Linked DNA regions of Rattus norvegicus. The protein of the gene in region 1 interacts with the protein of each later gene in a pairwise test. Links are inferred from orthologs where the notes say so. Each region holds a gene or a part of one and is shown on either strand. Other genes may lie near its edges.

Region 1 (5,277 bases):
CATTTGAGTCACCTACCCCAGGAGTGGCAGTAGAAAAGACAGGCCACTTGAATCAGCCTCTGCTTGTGTGTGTGTGTATGTTTCTGTCTTTGTGTGTGTCTGTCTGTATGTGTGTCTGTGTGTATGTCTCTGTGTGTGGGTATGTTTGTGTATGTATGTGTGTATATCTATGTGTGTATGTCTGTGTGTGTCCCTCTATGTATGACTGTATGTCTATATCTCTGTGTACCTGTGCCTATGTGTGTCTTTGTGTGTCTGTGTGTGCCTTCGTATATGTGCTTGTGTATGTCCATCTGTGTGTAACTGTATGTCTGTCTCTGTATACCTGTGCTTCTATATGTGTGTCTCTGTGTGTCTGTGTGTGCCTCTGTGTCTGTATGTGTATCTGTGTGTGTCTGTATGTCTGTGTCTCTGTGTGCCTGTGCCTATGTGTGTATATCTCTGTATGTGTGTGTACCTCTGTGTGTATGCCTGTGCGTGTCTCTCCTTCTGTGGATGTTTGTGTGTGTGTGTGTGTGTGTGTGTGTGTGTATGTCTGTGTGTGTCTATGTCTATGTCTCTGTGTGCCTGTGCCTATGTGTGTATATCTCTGTATGTGTGTGTACCTCTGTGTGTATGCCTGTGTGTGTCTCTCCTTCTGTGGATGTTTGTGTGTGTGTGTGTGTGTGTGTGTGTGTGTGTGTGTGTCTGTGTGTGTCTATGTCTATGTCTCTGTGTGCCTGTGCCTATGTGTGTATATCTCTGTATGTGTGTGTACCTCTGTGTGTATGCCTGTGCGTGTCTATCCTCGTGTGTCTGTGTGTGTCTGTGTGTATCTGTGTGTATGTCTGTGTGTGCATCAATGTCAGCGGTCTGCCTCAGGCAGATCTCCTTAGGAACTGTATCTTGATTTTAAAGACAGGGTCCCTACTGGGACCTAGGACTCGTGGATTAGGTTAGACCGCCTGGCCAGAGAGCCCTGAGAACTCTCTTGTTCCTCACACTGGGATTAGATGTACAATATTACTTCTGGCTCTTAAGGTGGGTGGGTGCTTGGGGAGGGGGACTCTTTACCAACTGAGTCACCTCCTCGGCACTGTTTGCTGTGTGACCATGGATAGTTCCCTGCCTCTCCCTGGTCCTAAAATCTCCCTACCTGGTGGGACACCAACATGGAGATAGGATCTCCCTGTACCAAGACCTACTGTCTCATGCTGCCTAGGACCCGAGACACCTACAGTACGTGGCAGATATAAATGAGTCCAATGTGTATGTGGTGACCCAGGGCCGCAAGCTGTATGGGATACCCACCGACTTCGGCTTTTGTGTCAAGGTGAGGGCTGCAGCCTGGGCTGGACTCGGGGAGGTGGGAGCTGCCTAAGTTTGAGTCCTATCTATGGCTTTTGAATGTCACGTTGAGGAGCCCAGCCTCATCTCCCTGTACTTGCACTTTTGGACAGGGCTTGGGTCCTCCCCTGCCCTAGGGCATCTGAGTACAGAATCATATAGGGGACAGTCCACTTCTCTCCCCAGCCCAACAAGCTTCGAAATGGCCACAAGGGGCTCCACATCTTCTGCAGCGAGGATGAGCAGAGTCGGACTTGCTGGCTGTCCGCCTTCCGGCTCTTCAAGGTGAGATCCCTGGAATGGCTATGGGGCTGGCCGTGCCTGGTAGAAATGACATGGCTCTGCCTTCAGAGGTCTTCCCAGTGAGGAGGTCATCACAGCCCAGATATTTCAGAATACCCATCAGGAAGGGCAGACTCAGTCCTGCTCTGTCACAACATTTCCTAGGCTCTCATAACCTCAGACCCTCTTTCCCCCCTGCCTCCAGTACGGGGTACAGCTATATAAGAATTATCAGCAGGCCCAGTCTCGTCACCTGCGCTTATCGTATTTGGGGTCTCCACCCTTGGTGAGTATACTATCCCGGGGTACGGGAGAAGTGGGCATGCAGGTTCAGGGCAGCTCTTCTGACCCCTTCTCTCCTCATTCTGTTCTCTCTCCAGAGGAGTGTCTCAGATAATACCCTGGTGGCCATGGACTTCTCTGGCCATGCTGGGCGTGTCATTGAGAACCCCCAGGAAGCTCTGAGTGCTGCCACGGAGGAAGCCCAGGCCTGGAGGGTAAGGCCTTCACACACCTATGCATCTGCTGTACTGGCTCCCAATGGGCGTTCGTGGAGGGAGGGAGGAAGGAAAAGGGCTTGGGGATCCAGTGAATGCCAAGGGCTCCTTGACTTCCATGTCCTCCATTGCAGAAGAAGACAAACCACCGTCTCAGCCTGCCCACCCCGTGCTCCGGCCTGAGCCTCAGTGCAGGTGGGCGATGGTCTAAAATCCCTTGGGTGGGCTACATTGCTACTCTGAGCAGTCCTGGCTGGGGTGGGGTGGTTCCCTTGCCTGAATGATCAGCATCTCTTCCCCCCTGACCCTAGCTATCCATCGCACCCAGCCCTGGTTTCATGGACGAATCTCCCGGGAGGAGAGCCAGCGGCTAATTGGACAGCAGGGCCTGGTGGATGGGTAAGGGGCTGGGCTGGGCTGGGTAACAGACCTGGGGGCCGGAAAGTCCCTAGAGCAGTTGTAACCAGGAACCCCTGATAATGCTACTTTGTTTCCCCCACAGTGTATTCCTGGTCCGGGAGAGCCAGCGGAACCCACAGGGCTTCGTTCTGTCTCTGTGCCATCTGCAGAAAGTCAAACATTATCTCATCTTGCCAGTGAGTAACTCCCCTACCCCTGAGCTAGGTTCTTGTAGCCCGGAGATATGAGACTTGAAGCCCCACTACGCACCTCCTTTCTCCCTGTACAAGAAACGGGGGTCGATTGCTAGCCCCACGGCTGCTCCTCTGCCCGGGACCACTGTCTGACCTGCCTTCTGGCCACACCACAGAGCGAAGATGAAGGCTGCCTTTACTTCAGCATGGATGACGGCCAGACCCGTTTCACAGACCTGCTGCAGCTGGTGGAATTCCACCAGCTGAACCGAGGCATCCTGCCCTGCTTGCTGCGCCACTGCTGTGCCCGTGTGGCCCTCTGAGGCCACACAAGCTGTTACAGCCATGGGGCTGCTTATCGCCCTTCTGCTCCGTTCAGTGGACTCGGTGCAGATGGGTGGGATGATAAACAGATGAAGAGCTCCCCCCACTTTTCTCCCACTTTTTTTTTTACCTCCCTCAGGTAATGAAACATCCCCCAGCCCTGTTCATCCCTGACTCCTGTCCCCAAAGGAGGCATTGTGGTCCTCTCCCCTTGGTAGAGCTCCTGAGGCAGTGAAGGGCATTATGAGAGGAGTAGGGGCAGCCCGGGTGGTCTCATGCCCCACCCACACTCTGTACAGACTGAGAGGCCAGTTGATCTGCTCTGTTTTATACCAGTGATAATAAAGATTATTTTTTGATACACCCACGAGTTCTGTCTGGCAAGAACTGACAAGAGAACCAGCAGAGGGAAAGGCCTTGGTCAACTGGAATATGCCCTAAAGACAAAAAGGCTGTTAGCCGCCGGAGAGCTTTCAAACCCTACCAGGTACCTGGTGCAGCCCAAGTGGTCAGTCAGTGCCTGTTAAATGGACAAATGGACAACAAGGGGTGGTGCTTTTCTTTCATTCTTTAGAAGAGAAAATCATAATTATGTCTATGACTGTGGGTTTGTATGTGCATGGGCACATGCAGTTGCTCAAGGAGGCCAGAAGGGGGCACCGGGTCCCTCCGAGCTGCAGTTAGAGCCAGCTGTGTGCTAATGTAGATGGTGGTAACCAAACTCGGGTCTTCTTCAAGAGTAGGCCGTGCCTTTGACCACTGATCCAGCTCTTCCACCCCAAGGGACTGGGCTTTTCTGACAGAGCCTAGATCTAACCAAGCCTGGGAACTGTGATGCATGACTAGAATCTCAGCACTCAACTGCAGAAAAACAACTGCAGGAAATTCAGGGCTAGCCCGGGTTATATGAGACCCTGTCTCAGGACCTCCCTTTTCTCCACAAACCAAGATGAGTTAGCAGCAAGTCTTGGACTAGTTAGTGGACAGTGAGTTCTGACGAATGCCACGGGGAAGGGAGAGAAGTCTCACTTTCCTCACTCCGGTTTTCTACCAACCTTTTCTCCCTCTCTGCAGTCCCCAGATCTGCTTTCTGTCCCTACAGCCTCCCTCACTCAGAAAGCCTGGCAGGGAAGGGAGATGCAGCCCTAAGTCTCTAATCTCCAGCCCGTCTTTCAGCTTCCAGAGTGAGTTGAGACCGTGCAAGCCTGCCCACTGCTCAGTTAGGCTGCATTTCCCCAGAGTTCCATGCCTTCATCTAACCCAACGGCAGCCTTATAATAAGTACATCCAACGACACCCACACCCTCTGCCCGGTTGTGGAGACACATCTTTTAGACTAAGCAGATTTTATTTTGGAAAAAAAAATCAAATTTTGACTTTTTTTTTTTAAAGATTTATTTATTTATTTTAGGCATATGAGTACACTGTCACTGTCCCCAGACACACCAGAAGAGGGCATCAGATCCCATTACAGATGGTTGTTAGCCACCATGTGGTTGCTGGGAATTGAACTCAGGACCTCTGGAAGAGCAGTCAGTGCTCTTAACCGCTGAGCCATCTCTCCAGCCCAAATTTTGACTCTTAATTCCATCAAACTAGTTTCCCAGAATTACGGGGGCCAGTGAACATATGAGTTGACACGTGGGGACAGTTACCAAAATCAGGACTGGGAATCAGAATGGATAGTTTAGTTTCTACTCCAACGACAGCCAAAGGACCCAAACCCAAACTCCCTGTAAAAACACGTTCATGAGCGACTAGAGACATTCTAACTTATTCAATATTATATTAAGGGACATATTTACATTTTTAACATATGGTAATGGCGTGGTAGGTTTTTAAATTTTTTTTAAAAGATTTATTTATTTCACATATATGAGCGCACTGTAACTGTCTCCAGACACACCGGGAGAGGGCATCAGATCCCATTACAGATGGTTGTGAGCCACCATGTGGTTGCTGGGAATTGAACTCAGGACCTCTGGAAGAGCAGTCAGTGCTCTTAACCACTGAGCCATCTCGCCAGCCCCCAGGTTTTTTAATTTTTTAAAAATTTCTGATACAGGGTTTCTCTGTGTATTCCTGGTTGTTTTGGGACTTTTTCTGTAGACCAGGCTGGCCTCAACCTCAGAGACTCGCCTGCCTCTGTCTCCCAAGTGCTGGGATAAAAAGCGTGTGCCACCACCCAGCGATAGTTCAATCCCTCTCCCCGTTGAAAAGGCTTATGCGATGGTAAACCTTGTAATCCCAGCACT
Region 2 (6,135 bases), on another chromosome or scaffold:
GCACTTGGAATTCTAAGGCAGAAGGATGGAGAGTTCAAGGTCAGTGAGACCCTAACTAAGGAAAATAAGCAAAAATAAAACCAGCCCTACTAGTTTACCTCACACGGGGCTCCTAAAATGATTTTGAAAGGTTTCAAGGGACACTAGAAGAATCCGGTTTAAAGCATGCGCCTTGTTTCTCAGAAAGTACTCCCCACCTTCTTATCTTAATCTCTTTGCCAGATTTGACTTGTGGAAGGAAAGTTGAACAGTACAGTAAAGGGGTGTGGAGCCAGCAGCCTGGGGAGAGAATCCCTCTTGAGGTGGTTTTGCTCAAACAAAACATTGGATGGGACCCTAGGAGGGAAGGCTGCTCTGGCTGCAGCTAGCGGGCTGGACAAACAAGGCTGGACAAACAAAGGAGATGATCACACACAGAAAGATTGTTTACCCTCATGCAGGGGTCAGAGATCATCCTCACCTGGCTTCCCTCGAGGTCCCACTCAAGCTCACACGGGCAGCCTGTCCACCAGTCTCTAGTGCGAGGAATCCAGTGAGGAATCCTAGGTTGGTTTGTTGTTATGTTTTCTGAGACAGTTTTTCTCTGTGTAGTCCTGGCTGTCCTGGAACTCACTCTGTAGACCAATCTGGCCTTGAATTCAGAAATCCACTTGCCTCTGCCTCACGAATGCTGCAATTAAAGCCAGCACTACCCAGGTTAGAGGAATCCTAGTTTTCATTCAGACTTGATCCCAAGGAAAAGTAGGCAGAGACCTACCACCAAACCGTGTCTCTAGTTAAGCAAGCTCCCCAGAGGGAAGGTGGTCAGAGACGGCATGGCAGGGTTTCCTGCACAGTACCCTGGGCCCTGAGAGAGGCAGACAGGTAGGGTGTGTCTGGGCTCTGGAAGCCAAGGACTCCAGTGTGTGCCTGAAAGAGGTTCCCTGAGAGGCAGAGTGACAAAGGCACTGAAGCCATCCCTTTCATCTACCTGGAGTTCTACCTGGTGTGGCAAGTGTCGTGGGAGAGGCTTCCGGCATGCTCTACTCACTCTTAGTGGTTCTGTCTGACTCACGGGGGGGGGGGGGGGGTCTCTGGACACGTGTGAAGTGAAAGGGAAGAGGGTTTAGAAACAAACTCAGAACATTCTCCCAAGTTGGGGAGGAACCCACCAGCATCTGAAATGGGAGGCTACCCGGGATTGGGATGGGGCTACAGAAGAGCCAGGCCAGCAACACATAGCCCCTTGCCAGAAGCCCTGAGGAAGAAACAGTGGCCCTGTTAACCCAGACTCCGTTCCATTCCCACCACGACACCGGAACAGAGGTTCTCGGAGTGTGAAACTCAGGTCACCTCTGGCACCATCGCCTGCAGATGAGCTATTTATAAAGCCGATCCTCCCTCTGAACCACAAGCAGGTACCAGAGCTGCATATCTCTAAACAGCCGACTCTCGAGATGTTTAGACCTGCTTAGAGCCAGTCTAAGGCCAGGCGTCGGTGGTATGCTTTTTTTTTAAATCCCAGCACTTAGGAGACAGAGGCTGGAGGATCTCTGTGAGCCCAAGGCCCGCCAGCCTGGTCTATGTATCGACCTACAGAACAACCACGGGTGTGTAGGGAAACCCTGTCTTGGGGTGGGAGCAGGGGTAAGAACCATCTGAACCCCGAGCCTGACTCACACCTGTCAGCACCGCACCAGGGACACTAAGACAGGAGGGTACCATGAGTTCAGACAACTTGGCCTGTGAAGGAAGATATGCCTCAAAAGACAAAAACCAAAACAAAAAAGCCAGAGTCAGCAAGATGGCTCATTGGATGAAAACACTGCCTCGGTCTGACACCTGAGTTTGATTCTTGAGACCAACAGAACGACACTCTCAGCCACCCCCCCCCCAAGTGTTCTCTGACCCCCACTCATGTGCCATGGCAAGTGTGCAGACACATGAAATAGATGTGAAAAGAATTATTAAGTAAAAATAAACCAATGGCAATTGCTCCTCAAACAAATTGCTTTAAACCTTCACATGTTGACCCTGGAAGCTTTTAACACTTAGAAAACCAGGGCAAACAGTCAAGTCTGTGACTTCATAACCACATAGGCCCCAGATGCCAGCATGCCTGTGGGGAACAGGAGGGCTGAAGGTGGGTTTCCTGCCGTCTGTGTAAGCTGAGCATTTCCTGTGCCCTGTGCCTTATTAGCACACCGGTGGAGGGTGCTTCCTGTCAGCCACTCTTTCCATTCTGCACGGTGCTTTGCTGTTTTCACACTGCCCTGGGGGTTGGAGGAAGACGAGTTTCTCACGAATCCTCTGGGCCACTTGGCAGTCTCCCCACCCCCACTGGTCCCTCATGTTTCCATCAACTGGCAGAAAACTAGAGCGTGGCCCCACGACGTCACACTGGGAGCACCAAGAGCTGGATGAGAAAGAGCACTTCTCCTGCAGTGGGCATTGGGGCCACCCCCAGTAAACCAGATCTGATGCTTTTGAATCTTGTACCAACTCAGTCCGGAATCTCAGGTCAAGGTAAGGGAAGGTTGGGTCTTATTGTTGTTGTGTTGTTGTTAGTAGAAGTACAGTCATTTATATTCTCTCTGTGTGTGTGTGTGTGTGTGTGTGTGTGTGTGTGTGTGTGTGTGTGTGTGTCTCAGAAGATAACTTGAGGGAACTAGTTCTCCCCTTCTGCCATGCAGGCGGTAAACCTGGGTCATTAAACTGGCAGTAAGCATCTCTGCCTGCAGAGCCAGCGAACCAACCCAAGGAAGGTAGTTAGCTGGGAAAAAGTTCTAGAACAGAAGATTAGAATCTTCAGAAAGAAATAAAAATTAAAAACTGGTTTTGTGTGAGAGAACTTTGGTGAATATGATCTAGGAAGAATGGCTGGGGAACGTCTGTCTCTGTTGCACCAGGTTCGAAAAGCCCTGGAGTTCCTGCCCCAGGACCACATACATAAGTATGGTTGGGGCGCACACCTGTAAATCCCAGTACTAAAGGAGCAGAGGATCAGAAGTTCAAGGTCACACACACACACACACACACACACACACACACACACACACAAAATTATTATTATTATATGTGTATTATATATGTGTGTGTATATGTATATATATCGGGTACGTAAAGGTTTCAGACTACTCTGAGATACATGAAACTCTAATGAATGGCTATATTGCAAGTCCCAGGTTGTCTGAGATACATTAGACCCTATCTAAATAAATAAGAAATTTCAAGAATACAAAATGATACATTTTGGAAAACATGGGGATTTGGAAATTTTTCTGTCATTCTATTATCTACTTTTTTAAAAAAAGGTGATTATATGCAAAATGCATACCAATTTGCCTTTTTTCCCTACGAATCAGCAACTTAGAAAGAGCTAAGAAAAGTGGAAGTCATACTGGCTAGTCAGTCACAACACTGAGAAGACTTAGAAACTGCAAAGCCCCTCAGAGGTCCAGTGATGTACACCACCCCAGCCCCTCCAGAGATCACAAGAAGGAGCTCAGAGCCAAGCACTCAGCAGGGGACTCTTGGCAGCCTGGAAGGGTGAGTTGCTCTGGGAAAGTGAACTCCAAGGTCCCCTGATCTAGCACAGGAATTGTCTAGCCTGGAAATGATGCCACACTTACATCCCAAGCCTGGGCTCACTAGGACAAGCAAACCAAACCGAGAGCAAACCATGCTGAGGGATGCTGGGAAGTAAGAAAGGAGATACTGGGGCTCAGGGCAGGGGGACTGACTGAAAGATGAATTTCTGATTGGATTTTCTTCCTCTCAGAGGCCCTGACCTCTATGCTTGGGCTTTCTAACCTCTTGTCCTAATCTCCAGCAATAAGTTTTTAGATCCTGAAGCCCTTATCATGAGTGAGAAGTGTAATAACAGATGTCATAAAGTTTTAGGGCCTTATAGAGGTAGTCATGAATGTAAACTCACTCCTGAGGTTTTCACTCTCAAATACACAAAAGTAAAGCGTCCATCAATCGGGTGCCAAGATTTTAGGAATATTAATAGGTGTAAATTCCAGTGCTCCCTTCAAAGTAAAAACGCAACGAAAGTGTATTTTGTTTTTAAATTGCTGTCGTTTTAGGAAATGTCAGTGTTATTACTAGAGTTAATCAGTATCGTGTGCAGGTGAAACACAGGTACAGAGGACTAAGTTCCTATCCATCATTGAAGCTTTAAGCACCATCTTCAATGAGTTCCCTTTTTAGTACATTTTTTTTGTGGGGGGTGGAAGGGTAGAGGTCAGAGAGCAATTTGCAGAAATCAGTTGTCTCTCTTTCACCATGTGGGTCTCAGGGATCAAACTTAAGAGTGTCAGGCTTGGCTGAAGGTGCCTTTACCCACTGAACCCTCTTACTGAACACTAAAAACTATTTTTTAAGCTGATATATGCTTTGTTGTTGCTTTCTGTCTCCTTTGCACTTTATAATCAGTAAATAAAATCTGTACTTATGTATTATGTTTAGCCTATAGTTTTGCAATGCATACGTGTTGTAGATGGCTGAATTCCATATGTATTACTTGACATAACCTTCAAACAACACCTTAAGCAATGTTCAAGAATACATTATTTTCAACATGGCCATGTTGAACTTCCTTCTACCTAACCTTTGACTCTGGAAACCTTCCTTTCCCACCCCTGCTGACCTCTAGTCTACTCTCTTGTTTCTATGAGTTCAATCCTTTTAGAGTCTGCATATAAGTGAGATGAGGCAGGATCTATCTATTCCTGGCTTCTTTCACTTAACACTATGTCCTCCGGGCCCACCCACCTTGTCACAAATGACAAGATCTTCTTCCCTTCTGAAGCTGAATGATATCCTTTGCATATGTATTCTACATTCTCTCTCTCTCCGTTTATCTATTGATAGACACTCGGGTTAATTCTGTATCTTGGCTATTGTGAGTTTTGCTGCAAAAGAATATGACAGTACAAATGTCTCTAATAAACACAGGAATACAGGCACACAGTTTCATTTGCTTTGAATATAGATCTAGTAGTGGGATGAACAGAGCATATGGTGATTCTATTTTTAATTTTTGGGGATAATTGCCATGAGTTATTTCCCACAATGACTGTGTTATTCTCGAAACTATTTCCGTGTTTGTTCATTTATTATTTCATTCACTTATCATTGAACAAATATTCATGACGCTCCTACCATGCTGCTTGAGATGTCCGTGACTCCTTGAGGCTCAGTCAGTGGCAGTGTTTGATGGCAAACATGTATACTATCAATCAGCCGTAAATGCTTTGAAGAAGAAATAGAAGTAAGAAAGCTGTGAATGGCGGGTGCAATCGGGGAGGATCTCTCGAAGGAGGTGAAGACACTTGAGACTTAAATGGAACGAGGGGCTCAGCTATGCAGATCCGAGATAGAACTTTTCTTCGTACGGATTGGGCAGGAACAGCAAGAGGTCCCGGTGGTCAGCATCAGGGGTAAGGGGGTTTGAAATGAGCCCGGATGTTAGTCAGGAGAAGACAGATCACATTATGTCAAAAAAATCCCTGCTGAGTACAGACTGAAGATTCACTGTCAGCATGGTGGGAAGCCATTCTAAGTGGAAGAGGGACCCAGTATGACTTACTCTGTACAGTGATCGTACTAGCTCACGGTGTACATGATATGTTGAAGTCAAGAGTGAAAGCCAGGAGGGCTCCCAGGGAGGGGACCACTGCAAGTCAACTTGGAACTCATCTTGGCTTATCCCAGGGTGGTAGCAGTGGAAGAACATGAGGTGACTGGATTTAAAGTGGATGCCCTTGCCCAGGTCAAAGCCGATTAATTGGAAGTAGGGCATGAAAAAGCAGTCAGTCAGGAGTGATGCCAAGGATTTAGATTGTACCACTAGATGACGGGAAGTCTAGAGGGAAAGCTAGTATATAAAGACTAGGTATAGGAGCCCAGTTTAGGCTTGAGATATCTGTTGGACAACCTAAGAGAAATGGCCAATAGAAGTTGGATCAGTAAGCCCAGAACTCAGAAGGACAAACATCTTTCCAGGTATTGCCCGGTGTAAACATTTGGGGGTTGTTGCTTGTTCCTGCCAGACTTCCATTGCCTACTTCCTGATAGAGTGGGCGTGGCTGCCTGATGTTGCAACCATCTGGTCCCAAGCAGAACCATGTCTGCAGCCTGCCAGAGAAT

The links. The genes of interacting proteins can lie anywhere in the genome.
Region 2: the proteins of Grb7 (region 1) and Lax1 interact in binary tests that used the Homo sapiens proteins (3 or more experiments, as listed by UniProt). The two-hybrid records come from large-scale screens. The link is inferred for Rattus norvegicus from reciprocal best matches to the Homo sapiens genes GRB7 and LAX1.

What each region holds. Positions count from the first base shown.
Region 1 is NC_086028.1:83,945,953-83,951,229, forward strand, and holds the end of Grb7 (growth factor receptor-bound protein 7), read left to right. Parts: intron 1-1,201; coding exon 1,202-1,312; intron 1,313-1,512; coding exon 1,513-1,611; intron 1,612-1,813; coding exon 1,814-1,894; intron 1,895-1,988; coding exon 1,989-2,105; intron 2,106-2,239; coding exon 2,240-2,300; intron 2,301-2,416; coding exon 2,417-2,504; intron 2,505-2,607; coding exon 2,608-2,701; intron 2,702-2,874; coding exon 2,875-3,021; 3' UTR 3,022-3,385; downstream 3,386-5,277. UniProt on the Homo sapiens protein: Adapter protein that interacts with the cytoplasmic domain of numerous receptor kinases and modulates down-stream signaling. Promotes activation of down-stream protein kinases, including STAT3, AKT1, MAPK1 and/or MAPK3. Promotes activation of HRAS.
Region 2 is NC_086031.1:47,693,516-47,699,650, reverse strand, and holds the start of Lax1 (lymphocyte transmembrane adapter 1), read left to right. Parts: upstream 1-2,254; 5' UTR 2,255-2,505; intron 2,506-3,344; 5' UTR 3,345-3,442; coding exon 3,443-3,528; intron 3,529-6,135. UniProt on the Homo sapiens protein: Negatively regulates TCR (T-cell antigen receptor)-mediated signaling in T-cells and BCR (B-cell antigen receptor)-mediated signaling in B-cells.